7 linked regions of the Danio rerio genome follow. The protein of the gene in region 7 interacts with the protein of the main gene of each other region in a pairwise test. Links are inferred from orthologs where the notes say so. Each region holds a gene or a part of one and is shown on either strand. Other genes may lie near its edges.

Evidence for each region.
Region 1: the proteins of lzts2a (region 7) and suv39h1b interact in binary tests that used the Homo sapiens proteins (3 or more experiments, as listed by UniProt). The two-hybrid records come from large-scale screens. The link is inferred for Danio rerio from reciprocal best matches to the Homo sapiens genes LZTS2 and SUV39H1.
Region 2: the proteins of lzts2a (region 7) and hspd1 interact in binary tests that used the Homo sapiens proteins (3 or more experiments, as listed by UniProt). The two-hybrid records come from large-scale screens. The link is inferred for Danio rerio from reciprocal best matches to the Homo sapiens genes LZTS2 and HSPD1.
Region 3: the proteins of lzts2a (region 7) and mab21l3 interact in binary tests that used the Homo sapiens proteins (3 or more experiments, as listed by UniProt). The two-hybrid records come from large-scale screens. The link is inferred for Danio rerio from reciprocal best matches to the Homo sapiens genes LZTS2 and MAB21L3.
Region 4: the proteins of lzts2a (region 7) and poldip3 interact in a two-hybrid assay, tested with the Homo sapiens proteins (2 studies listed by BioGRID). The two-hybrid records come from large-scale screens. The link is inferred for Danio rerio from reciprocal best matches to the Homo sapiens genes LZTS2 and POLDIP3.
Region 5: the proteins of lzts2a (region 7) and stac interact in binary tests that used the Homo sapiens proteins (3 or more experiments, as listed by UniProt). The two-hybrid records come from large-scale screens. The link is inferred for Danio rerio from reciprocal best matches to the Homo sapiens genes LZTS2 and STAC.
Region 6: the proteins of lzts2a (region 7) and pqbp1 interact in binary tests that used the Homo sapiens proteins (3 or more experiments, as listed by UniProt). The two-hybrid records come from large-scale screens. The link is inferred for Danio rerio from reciprocal best matches to the Homo sapiens genes LZTS2 and PQBP1.

Annotation. Positions count from the first base shown.
Region 1 is NC_133183.1:27,652,840-27,656,339, forward strand, and holds part of suv39h1b (histone-lysine N-methyltransferase SUV39H1b), read right to left. Parts: exon of another isoform or gene 3,110-3,500; intron 3,003-3,109; exon of another isoform or gene 2,159-3,002; coding exon 1,505-2,158; intron 168-1,504; coding exon 21-167; intron 1-20. UniProt on the Homo sapiens protein: Histone methyltransferase that specifically trimethylates 'Lys-9' of histone H3 using monomethylated H3 'Lys-9' as substrate. Also weakly methylates histone H1 (in vitro).
Region 2 is NC_133184.1:33,966,192-33,968,525, reverse strand, and holds the end of hspd1 (60 kDa heat shock protein, mitochondrial), read left to right. Parts: intron 1-724; coding exon 725-883; 3' UTR 884-1,834; downstream 1,835-2,334. UniProt on the Homo sapiens protein: Chaperonin implicated in mitochondrial protein import and macromolecular assembly. Together with Hsp10, facilitates the correct folding of imported proteins.
Region 3 is NC_133184.1:37,578,258-37,582,367, forward strand, and holds the start of mab21l3 (protein mab-21-like 3), read left to right. Parts: upstream 1-1,310; 5' UTR 1,311-1,447; coding exon 1,448-1,495; intron 1,496-2,322; coding exon 2,323-2,463; intron 2,464-2,565; coding exon 2,566-2,637; intron 2,638-3,138; coding exon 3,139-3,430; intron 3,431-4,110.
Region 4 is NC_133178.1:302,981-306,440, forward strand, and holds the end of poldip3 (polymerase delta-interacting protein 3), read right to left. Parts: intron 3,055-3,460; coding exon 2,925-3,054; intron 2,745-2,924; coding exon 2,678-2,744; intron 916-2,677; coding exon 690-915; 3' UTR 501-689; downstream 1-500. UniProt on the Homo sapiens protein: Is involved in regulation of translation. Is preferentially associated with CBC-bound spliced mRNA-protein complexes during the pioneer round of mRNA translation. Contributes to enhanced translational efficiency of spliced over nonspliced mRNAs.
Region 5 is NC_133192.1:26,131,154-26,135,332, forward strand, and holds the start of stac (SH3 and cysteine-rich domain-containing protein), read left to right. Parts: upstream 1-1,379; 5' UTR 1,380-1,594; coding exon 1,595-1,702; intron 1,703-4,179. UniProt on the Homo sapiens protein: Promotes expression of the ion channel CACNA1H at the cell membrane, and thereby contributes to the regulation of channel activity.
Region 6 is NC_133183.1:43,445,467-43,449,497, reverse strand, and holds the start of pqbp1 (polyglutamine-binding protein 1), read right to left. Parts: upstream 2,801-4,031; 5' UTR 2,720-2,800; intron 2,546-2,719; coding exon 2,479-2,545; intron 1,714-2,478; coding exon 1,602-1,713; intron 762-1,601; coding exon 661-761; intron 1-660. UniProt on the Homo sapiens protein: Intrinsically disordered protein that acts as a scaffold, and which is involved in different processes, such as pre-mRNA splicing, transcription regulation, innate immunity and neuron development.
Region 7 is NC_133188.1:20,766,707-20,770,206, reverse strand, and holds part of lzts2a (leucine zipper putative tumor suppressor 2a), read left to right. Parts: intron 1-2,425; 5' UTR 2,426-2,452; coding exon 2,453-2,962; intron 2,963-3,500. UniProt on the Homo sapiens protein: Negative regulator of katanin-mediated microtubule severing and release from the centrosome. Required for central spindle formation and the completion of cytokinesis.

The sequences.
Region 1 (3,500 bases), on a different chromosome or scaffold from region 7:
TTTGAAGCTGATCAACTCACGCTGTGGTTGACGAAGTGGGAAATGTTTCCATAATGAGCAGCATCCACGGTATACTCATCGTCCACATAATCCAGGTCAAACAGGTAAGTGGCGCCCTCTTTATCGTATACATGACCTCGGCGTTCTGCTTCTTCTGTTGTGATGATCTAAAGCAAAACAGGGAAAAAGAAGAAAATTTAACAACTACAAAACTTGCTTCTTTGATAGACAGCCAAACACAGCCACAGCTATCAGACGGAAACTAAACTGTTAGATAGCTGCTAGACAATGCCATTATCTACTAGTGAAGAACAACATGTCCTGGTGATAACAGGGCAGCAACGACAATGTTCAACTGAAGAAGAGTTGAAATACAAAAATTAAATACAATAAAATGTAAATAACTACAATATTAATCGACAAATTATTGATCAACTGTGTGCTGTGTATAGAAAACATCAGCTAACTTTAATAACATTATTTTTAATGAATTTATCCAATTAAGTGAAAAAAATAACAGCTGAATAACACTTTATTTGGCATTTAACATTTAAAAATAGTTGCATTATAATTATTATATAATAACATAATTAGATCAGGGTTTCTGCAGGTTTCACCACCATTTTTAGACCATTATGAATAAAATTGTAGATTCATACAGGGCTAATTGCAAAGGATTTTTTTAAATATCCCGTTTAGAAAAGATTTTCACTTGCTCTATCTAAAAATTATTAAAACTCAATACATTCAATAATACAATAATAATTTAGTTATTATACATTTATTTTATATTTTTTTATTAATTTTCAAATATATCCATTTACAAACTATAACCCTTACCAAGAATAGAACAAAGCATAGCTAAGCTGTCAATTGCTTCAGTCTACAATAACAAATAATAATAAAAAAATAAATATTGTATCCTCAGCAGCAAACAAATGGAGAACTTTAAAGCAAATGCTAGTGTGAGGAATGTAATTAGTTGCTCTTTTTAAATAAAAAGTTAAAAGTTTTATTGAGATTGGGATTGCCGGTGAATGTATGGGTGTAATGGTCAGATACATGAACAAAGGAAAATTAAGACCTGTTAAAAAAGATCCTGCAACACAACATTTCAGTAGATTTAAGACTTTGTAAGGCCTAAAATATAGCTTTAGAGATTGAAGACATTTTAATACCCTGCGGAAACCCTGTTAATTAATTAGAATTATGTTTTTTTTTTTTAAGTGTTACTTTTTGCTGAAATTAGGAACTTTAAACCAATCCCCAAACTAATAGCATAAATAATCAGAAATAAATATAACAAACAACCTAATTGGTAAAATCAATAATAAAATTTCACCGTTCAAATAATTATGTTTTAATCTAGTGAATAGAAAAAATAAATCAACAGATTTACGGATTATCAACTAATCGTTAGTTACAGGCCTTAAATAAAAATAATAGAATGTTTACATGCATCTAATCCAGACTACAACTAACAACCCAACTCAATCCCTCTCACCTCGCCGACATACTCCATGACGAAAGTGTTCTTGCGAATTCGCTCCATGGTCCGCACTCCCCATCCCCTGCCATTGTCCGTCCTGAAAATGCAGAGCGAATACCGGATGCCCCTCTGCACCACTCTGTTGGAACAGTCAGGCCCACAGCGGCACCTCTTGTTGCATTCATAAATGGGCAACCCAGGCCGAATGCGGACCTGACCCAACTCATTGTATGCAAACTTATGCTGGGACGCTCCGGCACAGCAACCCTCCACAGGGCTGGCCAAACAGTCTGTGCACTCACAGCCCACGGACACCTCGTTCAGCAGGATCCCATCTCCAACTTTATAGTCATTAATGTAGGTGAAGCTTTTGGGTGGACCCTCCAGATCCACCTGGTTGCGGACAGAGATGTAGCCCTTATGGGTGCCCAGGCTGTTGAGGTGAGTCTCCCATTGTTTGAGGGTCTGCCGGAGTTTCGCTCGCTGAGTGAGGTGTGTTACAGTGGCGGGGTCTAGACGACGAGGGGCAGAACGTTTATTCTGTCTCTGCATCTCTGCATTCAGATCCTCCCAGAACTGAGAGAGCAGGTTGACGCACCTCAGGTTCCTCCGTGGTTCCCATGTGTTTCTGGATTCTGGGTAGCCTTTCCATTTCACCAGGTATAACTCCTGGGACAGAGAGGGAAAAACATGGAAGAGAAAGTAGGATACAGTTTTGTTTTAAGTATTTTTACTGTTTAAATTGCACAAATTTTACCGCCATTTCAAGATTTAAGAGAAGTAGTTTGTGTCTCCAGAATGTGTCTGTAAAGCTTCAGCTCAAAACACTCGTCAGATTATTTATTATACATTTTAGAATACTGGAATTTTTTGCTCTGAACATAATGTAGCTGTTTTTGTTGCCTGTACCTTTAATGCTAGTTCTCCCCACCCACCGCTCCCACGTGCTTGTCAGAGTGTGCCTCAATCTCCGCTTCAGCTGCATCGGACACAGGGCACAGCGACAGACAAGAAGGAAGCAGATCTCGCGGAATGTTTGTGAGAAATATTACAAAAAAAACCTCGCAATGATTATTTGATGTGTGATTTGTTGTGGAGTTAATTTAAGCTCTTTGGTGAGTCACACACAATGCTGTTACAAAGTTCACACTCACATATTTATATCTTAAATTATACAAGTTCAATAGATATTAAGAGTGAAATGAGAGATATATACTCATTGCAAAAAAAACATTATACAAATATTTACAATTGCTAGATACAGGGGATGGACAATGAAACACTGGCCAAATTGGTGTTGGAGGTTTCATGGCTAAATTAGATCAGCCTTGTGGCCAATGTTCATTGATTGCATATTCCACCAGTAAGAGCAGAGTGTGATGGTTTGATTGGAGTAATAGCACAGTTTTGCTTTAAATATCGCAATGCACACAACAAGTCTTTGTGATGTGTCAAGAGCTACAGCATCCCGGATAATGTCAGATAATGTCTGTCTGAAAGGCATGTCTGTTTGCTAGGGCTGTGCGATTATCGAAATCGAATCACAATTTGAAACGTTACCATTACTAATTGCGATTTCGATTACTAGCACAGCCCTAGCACCCAGACATCCCTTTCAGCCAGCTTACCTTTGCATCCACAGTTACTCTTGTTGTCTTACTAGCCAATTGAGTGAGCACACTTTCGTTCTGCCCAATCAAAATTAAATTTCGCAACCGAACTATGGCCACAATAAAATAAAAAAAAAAGAAAACAAACAGGAAATTGCTGACAAGTGGCATTATGGCATCTCCTGCTTCAGAAGCATTGATAGACGAATTACTATCAAAGAAAAATAGCACTTGTAATATGGGAATATTTTGGTTTCAAAGTCATAGACAGCGCAGAATGTTGCCTGTCACAGCATTGTTGCCACGGCTTACAGATTATTGAGCTAAAGCTTGACTACAAATTAAACCGTTAATCAAATTGCAATTACCATATCCTTCAAAAAAAATTGTTTTGTATTTTG
Region 2 (2,334 bases), on a different chromosome or scaffold from region 7:
TTAATGGAATAATTAGAGTTAAATTTGTTAGTTCTGCTTATATTTTGATATTTAGTTTGATATTCTTTTGTAAAAAAAAAAATGTAATCTTTAGTAAAACCGTTAAAAAGAATAACATTTTAATAATTTATATTTAGTTTAACTAATGTTGTCTTTGCTAATTAAATGCAATTGGATTTGCTATCAAAAAGACGTTAAGGCAACCTCAAATAAAGAAAAACCTATATTGAATGTCATTTGTGCCATTACAATTTTAAATACTGGATTTTACGTTTGAATATGCTTAATTGCATTTTTAATCTGATGTTATTGAATGCATTTGTGATTGTTTTTTTGTGATATGTGATCTAAATATTGATCTAATTTATGTGGTGAAGCCAAATTGTGTATTTTTGGACACGTTTTAGGTTATGATTTTACATAAAATTTGTGTTTGTATGTATGCATCCATACATACACCCCCCACAAATCTCTCATTTAAATGTAATCTTTTCTATAGGATGCTTTACAATATTATCTTTGTGCATATACATTAGATTAGTCAGTACTGAAGCCAAATCTGGAGCCAATCTAACAAAATCACCTATGATAACGGTCCAAAAACTAGTACACTCAAATTTATTTTAGGGAAAAATGTTAAAAACTGTCAAAAATAGCAAACAGCAATTGCTCTTTCATCAGCCTGTACAGAATGTGGGTTTATGGTGTTTGTCTCCCTCTGCAGGTGGTGAGGACGGCACTGCTAGATGCTGCAGGTGTTGCATCTCTCTTGTCCACCGCTGAAGCTGTCGTCACCGAGATCCCCAAGGAGGAGAAGGAAATGCCAGCTGGAGGAATGGGAGGCATGGGTGGAATGGGAGGAATGGGCGGCATGGGCTTCTAAACTGAAATCTGCACTGACTTTAGTAGAAGGGTTGTGGGCAGGGGACATGATTTGCCCCTTCCCTTCAGCTTGGGAAAAAAAAACCTGCCGTGCTGGTGGTCTGAAAATGGAGCAAAAGAAATGGACCTTACGGTCTTTCATCCTTCCACCCACCACTATGTCCAATTTTCTATCTCTACTCGTGGCTGAAGACGATGTCAACCTACTGCTTTAAAGATAAAGCTCCTGATCACGTGACCAGAGAGGGTCTGAACGCCTTCAGTTTGCATCATCAGCGTCTAATGGGAAAAGTGCATTTAACATTTTGCTGTTGTATGAATGTCATTGTGCATATGACTGGTTCTGAATAAGTCCATCTGAAGGGGCTTTAAAAGCCAGACGTTCATGTTAAAATGTGGTAGGAACATTGACCAGTTGTATCTATATAAAAAAGAAAAAAAAAGCAAATTCCACTTGATCAGTTCTTGTTTTGTAAACTGTCTGTCTGTTTCATATAAAAATAAAACCCTCGTTTGAGGATTACACAACTTTGACAAAGCATGTGCTTGTTTTGCCTTTCAAATGTTACTTTTAGTTTTCTACATGAAATGGGAATCATTTGATATCTGGTTTAAGGGGCCGTTCTTTCAGTCTTCATCTTCAGTCGCATCTTTCAGTCAAGATTAGAGATTGGTTGAGTGGAGGGAAGGGTGATCTTGTTGCACAGCAGATTTAAACAATATACTGAGTACATGAAAACAACTGGTGTGAAGTATGAATAACTCTTAAGTAGTGCAACAGAATAGTGTTACAAAAATTGCTGTTTGTCATGAGAATTACTTGTTTGATTTGATTTGATTTTTTTTTTTAAGCTACAACGATGATCATTGACTTTTTTTTTTTTTCCTTTTGTACAATGTAGTCATTAATTCTGTATTTTTTATTTAATAAAATTTAACATTCAAAGAGAAATTAGTTATTGTCTTTGTGATGCATTAAAAAATATTACGTGCAGAATGGATCAGTTTAATACAAAGCCCAGGCTGTCATGCCACACATCACACTTACCCTGTGAATGTAGTATATGTAAGCATAGGAGTTGTTTATTGTTGTTGTTGTTGGACCGGCCAGGGAATTATTATCAGCACAAGTACACCACACTCTTCCACCCACCTCCCGATCCTTTTCTCTCCCATCTCTTGAGGGAGAGAAAAAATAATAATAATAATAAAATGAACAAATAAATTTGAGAGACAGAAAAAGAGAAAGAATAGTACAAAAAGAGATGTAAAGACCGAATTATAATGTGGGAAAGTATTAATAAAATTTCTACTAAATAGTTTTTATTTATTTTTAATTAGATTAAATATCAGAGACAGTTTTTTAGCTCTCCCTGACCCCCTCTCCCCTCATGTTTACGTTCTGATGAAGGTGTTTTTGGGTAGTGGTTTCAGGCAAGGGAGACATCTTCA
Region 3 (4,110 bases), on a different chromosome or scaffold from region 7:
AAAATATGTATTGATTGGTTTGTTAAATGACTGTGTGTTTTGTTGCCTTGTTGCCTGATCTTGTTACACACGCTGCAATCTTTAAGGAATAGCTCAGCCAAAAGTTACAATTTTGTCATCATTTACTCATATTTACTAGTTCCAAACCAAAGGTTTCTTTCTTCTGTTAAACACAAAATAAGATATTCTGTTACTTCATTAGTTATTTTTGTTTTCCTACTATAGGAGTCAACGTGTGCCAGCAACCAACATTCTTCAAAATATCTTCTTGGTCAACAGAAAATAATCTCATAAAACCACAGGGGAGGGAGAGTAAAGGGTGAGGTAATTTTCATTTTTGGGTGAACTACCCCTTTAATGTCTCACAGTAAATTCCATAATAATATATTTTTTATTATTTTGTTATACAACCTTCAAACTCTATTAAGTGTTTATAATTCTCTGCCTACAATAAAACATTACCGTATTTTCCATTATTGACAAAACATTTCCTTTATTTAATAATTAGTTCATTCATTCAATCAGACATTTCTTTATTGATTATGACTATACTGTGCTGTAAGTTCCACTTCCAATACCTATATAACATTTAGTTTGTTTATTTATTTAGACATTTGTTCACTTTATCTTCACCACAGACAGTCAATGTATGTTAAAGGCTGTAGTGCAAGTGATTGTGACAGGGTTTTTTTCATATCATCATCACCTGATCTGTACTGAATTGAACCATGTAAGGTCATCCAATTCATCCACAATTGGTATAGTGGTCAATGAGTTTTTGACTTAGGCTACAGAGGGCTCCAAACTGAAAAATTAAGCCGGCAAGTTATTGTATATTATTTTTAAGCATTTGATTATTTCTTAATATTTGATTTGTCCCACAGTTGCTCTCATTGTTGATATATATTGTTTACAATACATGCATATTTTTGTTCATGTTATTTTAGTATGTGAAGTATGAGAATCCAGAGGCTTGGTGTAGTTTTACATTATATAGCCTTTATAATGGCCTCTTTTTAATGCTTTTTTTTTTTTGTTAAATTTAGCATACTTTAATTCAATAAATTCCAACTCACGTAAGTTGATAAACAACATTAACAACAACAATTGTGATCCAGTTGCGTGTTTATAATCAGCATATGGCGCAGTCTGCTGGATTAAAACCAAATGTTTATATTCAAATGAGTGTGATCGGTCATGTGAGTAAGCAATTGGTGAACTAATTTGCCCAGAGGAACATACAAGCTTTTTAGCATCTCGGGAATCAATATTGTGAAATCAATGGCTCTGCTGAAGTGCTTTTCCCTTGTGCGATTTGTGTTGCACGTACACAGGGACACAAAAGAATTGCAAAAAAGGCCACAAAGACACAACATTAAGCTCTGCTGCTGAAAAGAAGACTTAAAATAGCATCTGAAAAGAGCTTATTGTAAGCGTAGACTACAACATGACCAACTGCACAGATGAAGATCTGGATAACTATTTGCTAAATCAGGTGACCTACTTATGCTGTCATTGGTTTTATTGAGCACCGAGATCTAAACTAAACTGTTAATGTGTTATTAGTTTTTATTATAACCATTTCATTTGGTGTTTTAATTAAACAATAATAATTTTAGATGGCTTATTTTTAGAGTTTTTAAAAATTATTTTATTCAGTGTTTGTTCTGCTCTAATCGAATGTGTTATTGTCTTGTTTTTAGCTTAAATGTTTTATATGCGAATATGCTGTACTACTCACAATCTTTACATCTTACCATAGTCTTCATAATTGACATGTTTGTTAGTTTTTTTTGTTGTTGTTATTTACTTAAATATCTATTTGTTGTTAGACTATCCAGTTTTTCTTAACACAGGCTGCATAGCATTTATTTATTTGTTTATTTTTTATTTATTATTTATTAATTTAATTAATTTATTTTATTTATTTATTCAATTATTTATTTGTAGTCAGATGAAAATATGTTTAATTCTTTATTCTTTTTATTCCTCATTTCTTGTTTTATTTTATTTTTGTATGGTAATAAAATATTTTTATTTTATTTTATTTGTAGTTGCATAACTTGTTTTATTTTATTTTATTTTGTTTATTATGCTGTCTTAGTGGTGTAATGTTTTTATTTCTTGTTTATTTTCTTTATTTTTTATTTAAAATTTGTGTTAATAAAATAAAAATAATAAACAAATAGCTAGAGGATTTCTTTTTATTTAGTTTCATTTTATTTGAGTTTAGTGTAGTATTTCAGATAGATTCAATAAAAATAAAAAAAACATTCCTTTTTTGGTTTATTCTGCTGTTTCTGATGTTAAATGTATCGTCAGGTGGATCTCAGACATCGGCAGGTTTCAAAGTGTGTCGAAGATGTGCAGAAAATCATCAAAGATCTTACTACGGAGGTCAGCTCAAAAGACGCTCGCTTCCAGTCCATCGCAAATGCTGGAGTTCATAACGCCAGCCTCAAAGTAATGCTTCACATAGGCCTCATCTATATAAAAAATACTAACTGCATTATAATGCTGGATTTATAACATCATGTTTTTTCTTGTGTCCACAATCTAATTCAGGACCAGCCTGCTTTAATGTCAAAATGGTCTGCATTACTCAGAGGGAGATGTGCATACAACCCTGCCATACAAGTAAGCAGTAGTATTTATTAAAAAGGTATAGATCAACCCCAACATTTAAATTCTATAATTAAAATTACTAGGTAAGTCAATGGGGAGCTGAACCAATTTTGGCACCATTATCATTGGACATTCTTTAAAATATCTTCTTTAATGTACCGCAGAAGAATGAAGGACATACAGGTTTGAAACAAGTAAATGGTGTCAAAATTGTACTTTTCCTATTTACTGTTGTAAACTTTAACTGGTGTTATTATGTAACATGCATGCAGCTACAAATACTTTTGCTGCGGTACTTTTGCAGCATTTACATAGGCCAGAGTGCACTGTTTGATTCAGATCTATATTCTAAAGGTTTTTACAGTGGCACCCCAGGTCTAGAAAATTATATTTTAATATTTTTGGACTAGACAAAAGACAAAAAGTCAGAGTAAGAAAAGCTTATATTATACAGTAGATAAACAGAATAGATGTACTGATTAGTTTGATGTTTTTTTTGGGTGACTTGTGCAGGTCCTCTCTCCAACCCTGTACCTGATCTCAGTGCCTCTGCAGGGCCTGATGGGCTATAAAGAGAGACGGACACGTCAGTGGCGTTATTATACACTGACTGGCTCTCGTCTCCTCTCACCTGTTCGTGAGCCGGAGAAGCTCCACCAATGGCTTGAGCTGGAGAGTTTTGTCAACCCGAGTCAGGAGTGGCACGATGCCCGCATGACCATCGAAGGTGACATTGTGCCAGCCAAGGTGGTGAACGTCTTCAAAGATCTTCTGGAGACGTCTATAAAGACCCGCGGACTGACAAGTTAGAGTTTTAATATTTGTTTAATCTGTGTGTAAATGCTGGTGAATAATGAAAAATCTCTATACACTAATGATATTCTAGTCACAAACAGAATATTAATATGCTTGATTTAATTTGATGTCTCGATATATGTTCTGTTGATAACTGGATAACAGATTTATTTATTTATTAACCTTTTATTTTTGTTTTGTTATCCTCTTATAATATCTTTTCATATTATAGATTCCATAAGTAGCACAACATTTAATCTTCTGTTTGTTTTATACACCATATACACCATATACAGTTGAAGTCAGAATTATTAGCCCCCCTGAATTATTAGCGCCCCTGTTTATTTTTTTCCCCAATTTCTGTTTAATGGAGAGAAGATTGTTTCAGCACATTTCTAAGCATAATAGTTTTAAAAACTTATTTCTAATAACTGATTTATTTTATCTTTGCCATGATGACAGTAAATAATATTTTACTAGATATTTTTTAAGACCCTTCTATACAGCTTAAAGTGACATTTAAAGGCTTAACTAGGGTAATAAGGTGAACTAGGCAGGTTAGGGGAATTAGGCAAGTTATTGTATAACGGTGGTTTGTTCTGTAGATTATCGAGAAAAAAAAATTGCTTAAAGGGGCTAATAATCTTGTCTCATAAATTGTGTTAAAAAAATTAATAACTGCTTTTATTC
Region 4 (3,460 bases), on a different chromosome or scaffold from region 7:
CCGTAGTGTGTGTGTGTGAATGAGGGTGTATGGGTGTTTCCTAGTACTGGGTTGCAGCTGGAAGGGCATCCACTGTGTAAAACTTATGCTGGAATAGTTGGTGGTTCATTCCGCAGTGGTGACCCCTGATGAATAAAGGACTAAGCTGCATGAATGATCTGTAGTAGTAAATGAATCCTGAGTAAACCGTGTCCAGTTAATCTGCAGTCTCAGCTCCTGCATTGGGATTGGCTCCTTCTCTGATGACATCAGCTTGAGTTTCAGACACATTATTCTTAGTCCCGCCCCTCTTGCTGTTAGTTAGCTATGAGGTTATGACACTGAAGTCCCGCCCCCTGATCAATATTCAGCTTATAAGAGCATCAGCACACTGCAGTGGGAGTGTCAGAAACTCAAGAGCACTGTGCGGAGTGTGATCAGCTCCTCGAGGAGCAGAAGCATGACGTTAGCGCTAATGCTAACAGTGATGGAGGAGGAGAGTAATGCAGCAGAGGCGCGGCTGATTATAAAGAAAGACTTTACTGGAGAAAACAGAAAGCTGGAGTCACAGAACAGTCAAACAATCATTAAAACAAACATGAGGAGGCGCAGCTGACCAGCACAGCTCACAAAAGCACACACACCGCCTCTGTGTGTCTGTGTGTCTGTGTGTGTGTGTGTGTGTGTGTGTGTGTGTGTGTGCGTGTGTGTCAGATCTTGATGCGGAAAGCGGTGGCGTGAGCGGCCGGTGTCTCGCTGGCACTGCTGGCCGTCTGGCTGGAGGAAGAGGAGGAGGAGGAGGAAGACTTGAAGAGCGCCTTCAAGATGGTCTGCGGGTCCACCTCAGCTGCAGACGAGGACTTGGAGGAGCGGGAGGAGGAAGAGGAGGAGGCCTTCTGTGCGGACAGCGGAGAACCAGGAGTATCACTCAACCTCCTGCAGGACACAAGATGGAGGACATCAGAGGAGGAGGTGGAGGAGGAGAAGGAAGAGAAGGAGGAGGAACAGGAGGAAGAGGAAGAGAAGGAGGAACATGAGGAAGAAGAAGAGGAGGAGGAGGAGAAAGAGGAGTAGTAAGTGGAGGAAAAGTAAAAGAAGAGAAGGCAGAAGAGAAGGAGAAACAGGGGATGAGGAGGAACATAAAGAAAAAGAGGAACAGGAGGAGAAAGAGGACGAGAAGGAGGAGGAGAAAGGAGGAGTAACAGAAGGAAGAGGAAAAGAATGTGGAAAAAGTAGATGGAGGAGGAGAAAGTGGAGGAAAAGGAAAAAGAAGAGGAAGAAGAGGAGGAGGAAGAGTAAGTGGAGAAAGAAGAGGATACGGAGGAGGAAAAGGAGATGGAGGAGAATGAACAGGAAGAGGAGGACAAAGATGAGGAACAGAGGGAGGAGGAACAGGATGAGGAGGAGGAGGTGAAAGAGAAAGTGAAGGAGGAAAAAAAGGATAAGGAGGAGGAAGAGCAGGAGAAGGAACAGGAAGAGGAGGAGGAACGGGGAGGAGGAGAAGGAGAAACAGAAGGAGGAGGAAGAGGAAGAACAGGGGGAGGAGGAAGAGGAAGGATGAGGAACAGGAGGAAGAGGAGGAGTAACAGGAGGAGGAAGTGGAGGAGGAGCAAAAGGAGGAGGAGCAAAGGGAGGAGGAGGAGAAGGAGGAGCAGGAGGGGGAAGTGGAGGAGGAGCAAAAGGAGGAGGAGCAAGGGGAGGAGGAGGAGAAGGAGGAACAGGAGGAGGAGCAAAAGGAGGAGGAGCAAAGGGAGGAGGAGGAGAAGGAGGAACAGGAGGAGGAAGTGGAGGAGGAGCAAAAGGAGGAGGAGCAAGGGGAGGAGAAGGAGGAATAGGGGAGGATGAGGAAGAGCAGGAAGAACAGAAGGAAGAGTAGAAGAAAGAAAAAGGAGAAGAGAGGGAGGAAAAGGAGGTGATGAGGAGGATGAAGAGAAAGAGAATGTGAAAAAAAAGAGGAGAGGAGGAGGATGTGAAAAGTGAAAGTGAAGGAAAAGGAAAAAGGAGGAAGAGGAGGACGAGGGGGAAGAGGAGAAGGGGGCAGAGGAGGAATAGAAGGAGAAATAGAAGGAGGAAGAGGAAATGGAGAAGGAGGAAGAGGAGGAGGAAGACTGTAATGTAATGTAATGTAATGTTCTTTAATGCCATGTCAGCATATAAGGCTATCATCATGGCAGGAACATTTCAACAATACAAACACAATTTAATATCAGCAAACACAAGAATACACAGATTAAAGAAGAGATTCAGTGTTGACGCACGAGACACATTCTAACATCTCTTCTGGTGTCACTGCGCTAAAATACGAGAGTTCCTCTGATATAAAGTCTGCAGGAGTCAGTACACGGTGTTGTCCAGTGAGGGGAGATGTGCAGCACAGACCCTCAGCAGAGCTTCACCCGCAGCTGCATGTCCAATACCACATCAGGAGAACAGCACCTGATCAAACCTGGCCTGAACACTGACAGAGATCTCATGTCATGCGTCATCTCCTCACACACACACACACACACACACACACACACACACACTCCTCCTGCCGCTTGAGTACAATGCAAACGTTAATGAAAGATCTCAGCCCTGACGGAGGAATCAGCCGCTTGTTCAACACTCGCGACAAAACGTCTTGGAGGAGGAAGAATAGTGCAGGTGTGTGTGTGTAGTAGACAGGTGTGTGTGTGTGTAGTAGAGAGGGTCTTACAGTAGGATGGGCTGGTCAGACGTGATCACGCTGCCCTGCATGTGCAGATTACACTTCATCGGCTGACCTGTGCACACACGCACACACACACACACACACACACACACACACACACACACACACACACACACAGACAGAGCGTTACTGAGCTTCTGCCAGCAGAGACTTACAGACATTAATGATGCAATGATGGTGTGTGTGTGTGTGTGTGTGTGTGTGTGTGTGTGTGTGTGTGTGTGTGTCTCACCGTCCAGACAGCGGTTGTTGTACTTCCTGTAGGCACTGACTGCATCCTCCTTGCGCACAAACACCACCTCAGCCACGCCCACTTTGGCCAGCCGTGCCCGCTTGAGTGCGCCACACACACAGAACAGCTCCTGCACACACACACACACACACACACACACACACACAGAGAGAGAGAGAGAGAGAGAGGAGAGAGGTCAGTGTAGATCAACTCTTGCTTTCTCCCTATAAGGCTGTAAGTAACCCAGCTCCTGTTCATCTGACCCAGCTTCTGTCCCGCTACAGCCCAACCCGCTCTTCAAGAGCTCTAAACTCAGGACTTCTGAACAGCAGAGTCCACTAAAGGAGGTCGAGTCTCCTCATGTATGGCTCCTGAACTCTGGAATAGACTCCTGATAGAGGCTCAGACACACTCTCACTAGAGGAAACACCTATCTGTTTAGTCAGTTGCTACACAAGTTGCGTAGTGTGTGTGTGTGTGTGTGTGTGTGTGTGTGTGTGTGTGTAAGGAGTGTATGAACAGCACACAGGAACTCA
Region 5 (4,179 bases), on a different chromosome or scaffold from region 7:
TGCTTTGAGTTTTATGATTACCACCTTGCAGAAGTACCACTTTTTTATGTTTGCAGCTTAATAAGCAAAAAACGCAGTTTGTTGCATTGCTCAGTGAGCAATAACTGTCTCAAACAACTGTATATTTAACTGATGAAATATGCTTAAAATAGTTAAAATAAAACTCAAAAACCTCAAAATGAATCATACGTAAGCATACATGATATTACCAGACCTTTGAGTTTAAGTTAAATAAAAATACAAATTCATTTCAACTTTTATTTAAAATTATGTTGGACCAACTTAATTTCACTTAATTGTGTAAATAGATTTTTCTTGGTGCTAAACAAATTTACTAGATGGAAATCCTGCCCTCAATTAAATTAAGCTTTTGTCTGTGCGTGTGTGTGTGTGTGTGTGTGTGTGTGTGTGTGTGTGTGTGTGTGTGTGTGTGTGTGTGTGTGTGTGTGTGTGTGTGTGTGTGTTTGTGTTTGTGTTTGTGTTTGTGTGTGTGTGTGTGTGTGTGTGTGTGTGTGTGTGTGTGTGTGTTTGTGTGTGTAATTGGGAAAGCTAATGTCACCAGTTTAATGGCAAAGTATGAGTGATAACATTGACACTTTTTATGGACACACATTTCTATAAAAAACATATGCTAAAGAATTGAAATAAATTAGGTATGTTGTGGCTTTTATAATAAATCAAATAATAATACGCCAAGAGAAATGAGCAATACAGTTGCTGTATGTGTTACAAATTGATAACAGAGTTGTATATAATGAAAAACATATACTGACAAATATATATATAAACATGATTTTTAAGCTATATAAGACAATTTTGGTAAATAATATTATTTGTTATAGCCTGTAACATAAACACTGTAAAAAATCCTGGTTGAATCAGATTAAACCTATGAGTCCATTGAACTCATATAATGTTAAACTGACTTAAAACAGCTTTCGTAACTCATAAAATTAAGTTAGAACATGATTCACTTAGTTTAATAAGTTACAATGACATAAAAACATATGCTGTTACACATATACTTACACATAAATTTGAATGTTAAAATACTTTTTGTTTTGAAAGGTCTAATTATTTAGACCTAATTGGGAAACCATTAAATTAAACTAGGTTAAAAAATCAACCCAATACTTGAGAGAAAAATGAAAAGAAGGAAAGAAAGATGTTAACATTATTTGTATTATTAAATATTATTACTTTTTATAATCACTAATACTTTATTGTTGAATGTGAATAAGATTAGAGACACGTCTGCTCACTAAAAAATAAAGCAACGGAATCCATCAAAGCTGAACTCCTCCTTTAGCGGGAGTTGATTGGCTGATCCACAGGCTGACAGTCAGATCCAGTCAGTCTGCTGGACGGACGACGATCCTGACTAATGAAGAGAGCAGATCTGGAACGGACTGTGCGTCTCCACTATGCAATGAACAAACCGATGGAAAGTCGATAGGCGAGTGCGACTGTGTGCATTCAGACCCGTTATCCTCAGCGCGTTCGCCAGTTCAGAACTTCCAGCTCAACTCAACATGTAAAGTGCGACTGGCACCAGACGTACCCGACAGATTGGTGCTGTTGAACTGTTATCGGCATGATTCCGCCAGCAAACATGATTCAGGAGGACACGATGGGCAAGGAGAACGAGCGGGACCACCGGGAGCCTCAGTCCCCCTCATCCATCAGCCAGCAGGAGTCAAAGGTTGGAGAAACACACACCTCAGAAACCGACAATTATGTGTGCGGTTTACACTTTATTATTAGAGAGAGCGAGGGTTTTGGCGTTTTGTGAAACTTTGATTTAATGGTTCATAGTTTTACTTGTCTGCTTTATATTAAAGTGGTTATATGTCACTTATACTCGTGTAAACTACATTACGTCAAATGTAAAGAGTAACGTTTGTGTTGTAAATCTTGTGACACTGTAACGTACTGTGTTACTGAAAACATGGCCGTTTAAAATCCATGGCAAGCTAAGGATTTACTTTATGAAATAATTACTCCACACATTAAACAACAACACTCAAGTTTTATTTTATATACTTTAATGTAATATGTTTAATTTAATATGTAGGCCTAACATTTTAACCAACATTTAGTATAAAAATAGTTAACTAATTAGTAAACAATAGCATATTGAACCACCAATACACTAAATTAACCATCGTTTTACTACAAAAACATGTTTTTTCTTCGTAGTTAATCAATGGTAACGCCAAATTAACAATCGTTTTGCTACACTAATGAGTTTAACCATGATAAAACTGTGGCCGTACAAGTAAATACACAAAAAAACATGGTTAATGCACTTTCAATATATGCAATAGATCATAGCTCATGATTCAAGGGTAATTAACACACAAAAGGCTTTCACACAATGGAGCTGTTTCAGATTTGGTTCATGATACCAGTTCTGCTATAAAAATGATCGCAGGTCACATGTCAAAACATAGATACAATTTTAACTTCCTACCCCACAAATTAGGGCTGCACAGTATATCGGTTCAACATCGATATTGCAATGTAATTGCATAAGTCACATCGCAGGATCTGCAAGTTCAGCTTCAGTTGATTCATCCCTCACAAAATTTGAGTGGAATTATAGCTGACCAAGAACTATATTTTTAGTGATTATAATAGAGTGAAAGAGTGCTTGTTTGATTTGTTTAGAGGCCTTTAAGTAATTATAACAATGAAGATATATTGCATTAACTTTTATAAATTGACGACTATGCAGTTTTATTTGCTTACATTTGATTATTTAGCTTATACTCGAATATAGTTAGACTCCACAAAAAATGCAACAAAATTTAAGCAGGTTATCTGGCCTACGAGATCATCTCAGTTAATATAAACGTTTGAGTTATTTCCAAATTGAGCTATTCAAGTAATCTGGTGAAATTAATATTATAAATATTGTAGAAAATCAAAATGTCGCAATGTCAAATTTTTCCAATATCGTGCAGCCCTACCACAAATAGTTTTCTGATTGCCTTGTGAATAATTTTTTTCCCACAAAGGAATTTTTATTTTAACTGCAAATTTTACCCCAGTTTTGTTATTTCTAATTCATTATGCAATACAAAACTCTTTAACTCAATTTCAAGCGTTCATTTGTCCTGTGAAATACTGAATTAAAGTGATTGATGATAGTTTTAGTATTAAGAATATGTTGATTTATGTTTACAAATAACACTGTTTAATCATCTGAGCAATTATAGTTCAGATACTACTCCTATACTGGCAGTAATATCATTTGATTGATATTGTCTGCGTGCAGTCGGGCTCATGTGAGAGTATAAGTTATATTTCATTTCGCTAGGGGAAAATTGTGCTGCATCTGTATTTGTTGCAGTGATATTTAGTTTCTGCTCAACCTTGGTGTATGATTTGTTGTGTCTGATTTAGGAGTTTGTAGTGGGTGGCGTTTTGTCACATTGGTGCTGAGTTTGAGCTCATCTGTTTTTCTGGGTCATCAGTGGCCCTGAGTTCCACATTCAGCCCAGAAATGTTGGACGGGTCACTGTGCTTTTAGAGCTCAATGCCAGTTGGGAATTTTGCATATTTATTGTCACTGAGTCAGTAGAGATTGGGTGCTGAAAGGCAGTAGTGCTTTATTTATTTATGCAGTTGTTCAGAAAACTGATTCATTATTTACATTTACATTGTGTCATTCTCCTTCTCCCCATGGAATATGTGATGCTTCAGTCAAATTAATAAAATATTTGTATGAAAAGAAAAAATATATATACAATTGCCATATGGAGTTAAATGTTGACTTGATCAGAAGTGTCGTGAGGAGGGATTTGTGTGTAATTGAGAGCTGTTATTTTGAGCATTAGGAGCACTAATATTATTTATCAGAAGTGCTAGAATCAGATTATTAGGTTTGAGTTGTTTTTAAAAAGAAGAGTTCTTTTTAAAGAAACAAAATCCACATTATATTTGATTTATGAGCTTTCATATAAGTTATTTTGGACCGTTCCATTGCAGAACACTCCTGAGAATATGCCTAATAAGGATGAAGTAGTCTCCTAAGAAAGATTATGACTCATTAGTTGTTAATGGATGACTTTTGATTCACAATAAAAAAATATATATATATTAATATTTTAATTTCCTGAGCTGGTTGTGCTCCACAGAATTTCCAAGAAGCAAAAGGGGATGAAACCATCACTA
Region 6 (4,031 bases), on a different chromosome or scaffold from region 7:
AAAACTTTATAAAAGTTCACAATGCTGATGCAGATGAAATAAAACAAGTATAAAACTAAACTTTTTTTTTAAACTGATTTGAACGGTAAAGTCTAGAAGGGATGCAGCTGCATATATTCACATAAATATAGCATCATCTTTGTGACACTACAACAATAATTTATACTCTTACATTACTGCGAAGGGTAGGTTTAGGGTTGGGGTAGACTTTAATAAAACACAATTTAATGAGTAATTAAACAAATCACATAAATAATTCTCATTACAATGACAGTTTTTACATTATGGTGAGAGTTAGGTTTAGGGTTGGGTAGACAATAACAACATACAATTAATGGGTCATTTAATAATATAAATAATTCTTGTTAACTTCCAGCTGCAGATGTATCCCTTCAAGCAGCAACCCATTTAAACCCCATTACCTAAGTCTCCCCCACTTAAATGTTGGTCTTGTGCATCCACCATGTTTATAGTTTTTAACGCTTTTTATCAGTGGTTGCAGTTCTACAGAAAATAATAGCCCTTCTAGACAACTTTGGAATAGCCTACTCATTTAAACACACTACAATTTTGAACATACTCATTTTTTGTTTGAGGTATGCAAATTGAGATGTAATGAGAGTATCTATGTTACATACTGTTCCATGCCTTGTGTCTTACCTTTCGGTTTCTTGGCAGCTTTGGTGATGACAGCTGCAGGGTCATTAGGGGACAACCAGGACACCAAATCTGTCTCTACATTCCAGTAGTAAGGAAGCCCACTGAGGACAAAAATTACATATAAGGCTTATTTCATGTAAAGAATTATTTATATGTAATGAGCTTCAATCTGAAATTTGGGGCATTTATCATGATATGACTATGTTTTTTGTAGGATTTTAGGATTAGCATGTAGGATTAACATGGATATGGTAGTTATTCAAAGTCATTTCATTTTAGTGCCTGTATCAAATTACATTTACAAGTTGTATATGTGTATATATATATATATATATATATATATATATATATATATATATATATATATATATATATATATATATATATAGCATACTATGAAAGCTAATACATTTGTCTACTTTAAAATAACATTTAAAAAGCATGTCAAAATAAGGGTGAAATATTTTTAGAATGTCATTCAGGGTAATAAACCCATTCATCACAGCTTTGTAATTAATATGTACTTATGATTTACATTATATTTTATACATTTATTCCATGCAATGACAATTAATTTTGTGGTAATCATAAAATCCTTCAAACGATTTTCTTTCATTCAGTTATATTTTCAAATTTCAGAATCAGGAAGTTTTATTGATTAAGACAAATATTAACAAATATTCTGTGCATTCAGACCTTCTTAGCTTTGTCACATCTATAATGCTGTATTTTTTACCAAAAAATATTTTACCACTGATATTTTTAGAGTCATCTAAGAGCCCATTACTACAGCAATATTTATAGATTAGACCTAAATATATGCACTGCTTTTTATCTTATTAAAGGTTTGCAATGTAGCATTAGGAAAATTTATATTATTCAGCAAAACTCAGCTCATAAAACTGGAAAATAAAATAAAGGTTGAAACATGAAATGCTTACCAGGCTGAATCAAAAACTTTGTACCAATTCGATGGTAAACTTTCAATCCGTGTAGCTTCATAATCCACGTTGTTATCATCATAGTCTTCAGCAATAATCTCCTCCTCTGCTTCTGAAGATAAAAAATTATAAAATGCAGTATATTAGAGAGTGGAATCACCAAATTACACTTTATTAATTGCCTATTGACTAAAAGTGATAGTTCACCAAAAATATTCTGTCATCATTTACTCCCCCTTAACTTGTTTCAAACCATGATGAGTTTTTTCCTTATGTTAAACACAAAAGAACATATTTCAAAAAATTATGCAAACCTTTAACCACTGACTTCCAATTGGGTTAAAGTTGGTTTTAAATTTGCACATTCAGACTTTCTCCATAATAACGTAATTTTAGAAATATATTCTTTGTAAATTTTAAATGGTGAAATCATACTAGCAGCCAATGACTATCAAAAGTAAAACATTGTTACAAATAGTGCTATACTTGCATGCGATTTCAGACCGAATACACAAAATAGTGTGGTAAACAATATAGAGAATGTGTCACAAGTTGTCACTGAAAGAATGTGCGAATATAAAATCAACATTACCTCAATTGACTTGACAAATACTATGAAAGTCATTGGTTTTCAGTATCAGTCATAACTATATTTTAAGAAAAATGAAAACCAGTAACCACTGACTTCCAAAGTATTTGCTTTTCCTACTATTGAAGTCAATGGTTACTAGTTTCAGCATTCTTCGAAATATATTCTTTTGAGTTCAACAGAAGAAAGAAACTCATAAATGTTTGAAACAAGTAAAGAGTGAGTAAATGATGACAGAGTTATCATTTTTGGGTAAACTGTCTCTTTAAACAAGCATAGTTATGTTACCGTGGTCGGACTGTTTCACGATCCCTCTTTTAGCGAGTCGTGCAAGTAAAGCAGGAGGCAAAGGCATCTAAAAAAGAAAAGCAAAACATCTCAGTGATCAGTGTTGACGAGCCACGAGAAACTCGAACTAGCCACAATGTAAAAACTGCTCACAGGGTGCATGTTTTATATGCATGTAATATACATATTATTCTGTGTGCAATTGTATTATGAAATAAATGACGAATGTAGCATTATTTACCTTTCCGATGTCCAAATATTTAGTTATTTGACCACAGTTTCATTGAAAAGAGGCAAAGCAGCGAACTGGGCGCGTAATGATGACGTTGCCGTGACGTCTCCTAGGATTACTACGAACAAAACGCTTCGAAATGATTCTCCTTTCTTTCACTTTTGATGTCAAAACCTATTATTATTGCCATACATTGTATATTTTTTGTGAAATAAAACAGACAAAATACAGGACTTAAAAATATTCAATATTTAATCTACATCTAACTTATGCATGTAACCAAGAAGGCATATTAGAAGACCATACACGTGAGGTAAAATAACTGTAATATTACCTTGCAATATCTGGCAATACTTATTTTACAAGAGTAGAGAGAGAAAGATACTGATTACTATTGTTTTTTATTACTGTTAAATGTACAGTTTATTCTGATCAATTATTTTTGTGTTGATTTTTATGAATAATATGATATGTTGAAAATAACATGATCTATTGAATGTTAATGCGATATATTGAATAATGTTATGATATATTGAATAACATATGGTTTTATTTAATTACTATATATAAATATCATATTTTTACTACTACTATGCACTGTGTTTATATGTATGTTACGTTATATTTAAACTTTAGAACTGCTTTGGCAATGCATCTGTAACATTTGCCATGCCAATAAAGTAATTATTGAATTGAATTGAGAGAGAGAAGTAAATAATAATATATGATATATTCAATAATATGATATATTATTTATATTTTTGTTATGTGTGTGTGTGTGTGTGTGTGTGTGTATATATATATATATATATATATATATATATATATATATATATATATATATATATATATATATATATATATATATATATATATGTATATATATATATATGTGTATATATATATATATATATATATATATATATATATATATATATATATATATATATATATATATATACTAATATATTTACTGTGTCTTTATTATATATGTATGTTTTTCTTATCTGTAATGTAAACTTTATAAATGCTTTGGCAAAACATTTGTAACATTTGTCATGCCAATAAAGCAACTATTGAATTGAAAAGCTTCTCAGTCGCCCTCTGGAGGAGAAAGACAGAATGGCGCAGCTGAGCTGTCCCTTTGCCGCTCTGAAAGCAGTAAGCTACCACGAAGAAAACTAAATGTAGGTAACAAAGCAGTCAAATTGTATTAAATATACAAGCACTAAAACGGAGACATTGGGAAGTGTATTAGCTGACAAAAGCAAAAGCTTACAGCACCTGGTATTCCCAGGCGGTCTCCCATCCAAGTACTAAC
Region 7 (3,500 bases):
GACTGGCAGGCTCTTTGCAGATTATTCCACATGGCAAGGCTGCTCTTAGCACACAACAGCAGACTAAATATATACCCTTCAATGCCCATCTTTGAAATAAACTCTAATACACCAATTCACAAGATATGCAATGTGCTGCTAATGCTTGCTTGCCCTTTTTTTTAGAAGTTTTGTTTTATGTTATGGCCTTTAAAGTTACAGTATGTAATATTAAAACATTAATCATGTTGGTTACATGGATAATTTAAAGAGCTAGAAACCTAAAAGTTGTTTGTTCGATCCCTGCAAAGAGCGCTATCATTATTGTGCAATTTGTTTTTCAACTTGTGTGAAGTTAAGTTTGCATTGTAGATGAACTGCCACAGACTAAACGGCAAAAACATTACATTTTAAACATTTAATTTCGAACCTTCCGGTGGAGAGAGTGTTTGCTGGTGCTTGCTGGTGTTGAGGTTATGCTACAAAAAAAATATTAAAAACGAAAGAACGATAAAACACCAAAAAAGATTACCACACAGATGGAGGAGGTTGATGATATCAAGCGATCGCTGGATATGTTGACAGAAGAAGTCTCTGTTGTTAGACAACAGCAGAAGACGATCATGGGCCTGGTGGAGGAAGTGAAAGCCTTGAAACTACAAAACATTGTAAAAGAAAAGAAAATACATACATTTTTGTATGTAATGACTCAGGTAATGAAATGAGAACTATTAGTTTTATGAATATTCAGTATTCACAAGTTAAGTTAATCTTGACTGACATGACATTAACAAATAATAATGTTATAAAAGAGCAGAGAGTTATATGAAAGCAATTGATGCATGTCCAAAGGCATTTGCAATCTGTTGGAAAGAATGATAGACTGCTACTATGATGTGCACAAATGACAATTTGTTTTGAGAAATGCATTAACTGTTGTGCAAATGTAAATAGTGTTGTGAGAAATGTATCAAAGCAACTGAGAAAAACTGTAATATGGAAAACAAACTGTGGCTGGCTTTGTTGCGTCTCCTGTTTTCAAAAGAAGAGTCCTACATTAAGTACATAGTAAATGTGATATAAACTTTAATGCAGTTAAAAATAAGGGAGGGCTTTATTAAAAGGCTTCCTTCTAGTGGAATTTCTGAATAACTAAAGTAAAAAAATGAACATACTTTAACCCTTTAATGCGTACGATAACACCAATGTGATCAGTAAATTTTTTTTAAAAGGCTGAACCTTTCATTTTATTTTCAATTTTCTAATGTTAGTTATGTAATCTCCTCCACATATTTGTAACGGTTGTTGGGGGCGTATTTCGTATTTTTATATCCCAATGTTGACAGGTATGGTTTAATCACTTGCTTTTATGACACACAAAGCCTACTCTAACGCACAGTAAGCAGATTTAATTTCTAATTTAAATATGTAAATCCAATTCCTTTATTTAAAATATAAGTTAATGTTTAAATTTCAAAGATATACAAATAATTTATATATACATTCAACATATATTTCAAAATGTATCAAAAAGAGTTCATATATGAATATTATGACATATAGCTTATATTTATGAGGTCCAAGGAACATTACCAGGTTTTGATGGATAGGCTACTTTTTGTTAATGCTTTTAAGTACAGCTGTTTACTTTTTAAGAACAGTGCCACATATTGATTTAAACTGTGACTCTTTATTTCTTTTTAATTGTAAGCACAGTACAATCTTAATGTTCAAACTATTTATAATGTTTAAAGTGGCTGACAATAATAAATATTCATAATAAGAAGACTTAATCTGCCACGCTTTTGCACTGTGCAGTGATGTAGCTGCTTAATAAAGCCTACTGCGCTACTGTATTTTAATACTGGTCATTATGGTGGTGCTTGGAGAGACACATTTTTCCTGAGGTGGTATTTGGTGAAAAAAGTTTGAGAACCACTGAGCTAACCCAATGTAATTGTATGTTGTTTGGCTGATTACAATCCACATGAAACACCGACAACTTCATTTTTGAAAAATACATGTAAACAGTTTATGCACACTTGATCAACATTTTGCCCTCCATCCTGTAGTTGCTAAAATTGTTGAATGCTACACAAAAAAAAAAAAGTTTTGACCATCTTGTCACTGTAAAGCATTGCAAATTAAGAATATTACATTAGGTGAAAATACACTTCTCTATGGCTAGTTCCTAGAACAGAGTTCTGTAACTACCTGTTGAAAAAAGCCCATCGAGATACAAAGATTTTTTTTTTTTGAAAAGCAACCTGTGGCTATACTCTGAGTACAATGAGAAATTTAAGCTGTGACATCAACATGTTCATGTGTTTTAAAATGATGAAGCTAGTGTAATTATGACCAACAGAATAATCTATTTTACAGGATAAATGACATCCATGCCAATTACAAAATCTTTATTCCTTGTCCACTGTTTTTCTCTCTACAGAGTGTGTGTCCTGGTCGGGTGTTCACCATGGCTCTAGTTCAGGCACTGCCTGTACCCACTGATCACCCAAAGCCCAGTACTGACGTCCAGCAGTGCTGCTCAGTGTCTCACTCCCCCACAGTAGATGTCACTGGCACCATGGGTTCTGTCAGCAGCCTCATCTCTGGACGTACCTACCAGGAACGCCACTGTCGAGCCGCCAGTGACTTTGGTGCCAGATATCGCAAACCCACACCAGCTACAAGCTGTTTTCGACAACAAGAGGGCACACTGCGCAGCTCCAGCTCACAGGAGCAGCTTCTGAACAGTCAGCCTCCTCTACCCGCTAAGAACAAGTCTTCTGCCCTCATCTCGGCTGGCAATGGCAACTATGGCTATTTGAGTGATGAGCCAGTGGGTGATTGGAATGATAATCACGTGAGCACATGCAGCCCATCCAGTGACACTGAAGAACCTTCTGATAACAGAGGCATGAATGGTAACATCGGTGGACCTCCGCCAAAACTCGTCCCAGTGTCAGGCAGGTTGGAAAAGGTAAGTCTTGGAGTTGATCAGTTGACATTTGAAAACAAAAATAATACAATAAATTGTAAATTAGTGACAATGTATTTAAAAAAAAATTAAGATATAAAGTGAACCAAAATGCAGTAACCAAGAATACAATCAGGCAGGGTTTGTAAAGTTATTTCTAGAAGTATACATGATTTTTTAATTGATATCATGCAGATATTTTTCAAAAGAGACTTACTGTAAAAAACTGTTTTAGTTAATTTAACAGTGTTTAAACCCTGGACATTTCTTAAAGCATTTTCTTTCTAATGTGACCCACTGTTTCGTTGTTGAGGTGTCATTTAATTGTTTTAGTATAAAGAATGGCGGCTGACAATTCACACATCTATTCAGCTTTTCCTTTCCAATGAAGAAGGAGAGCATTTAAATACTGCAAAACGTCAATATGCCATCACTCACCATACACATTTAATCAATGATACCTCATTACACTTACAACACTAAAAGATGGTGTTCTTGGAGGTTTAATGCATTTAATATTTTTAAGATACACATGTGAAATGGC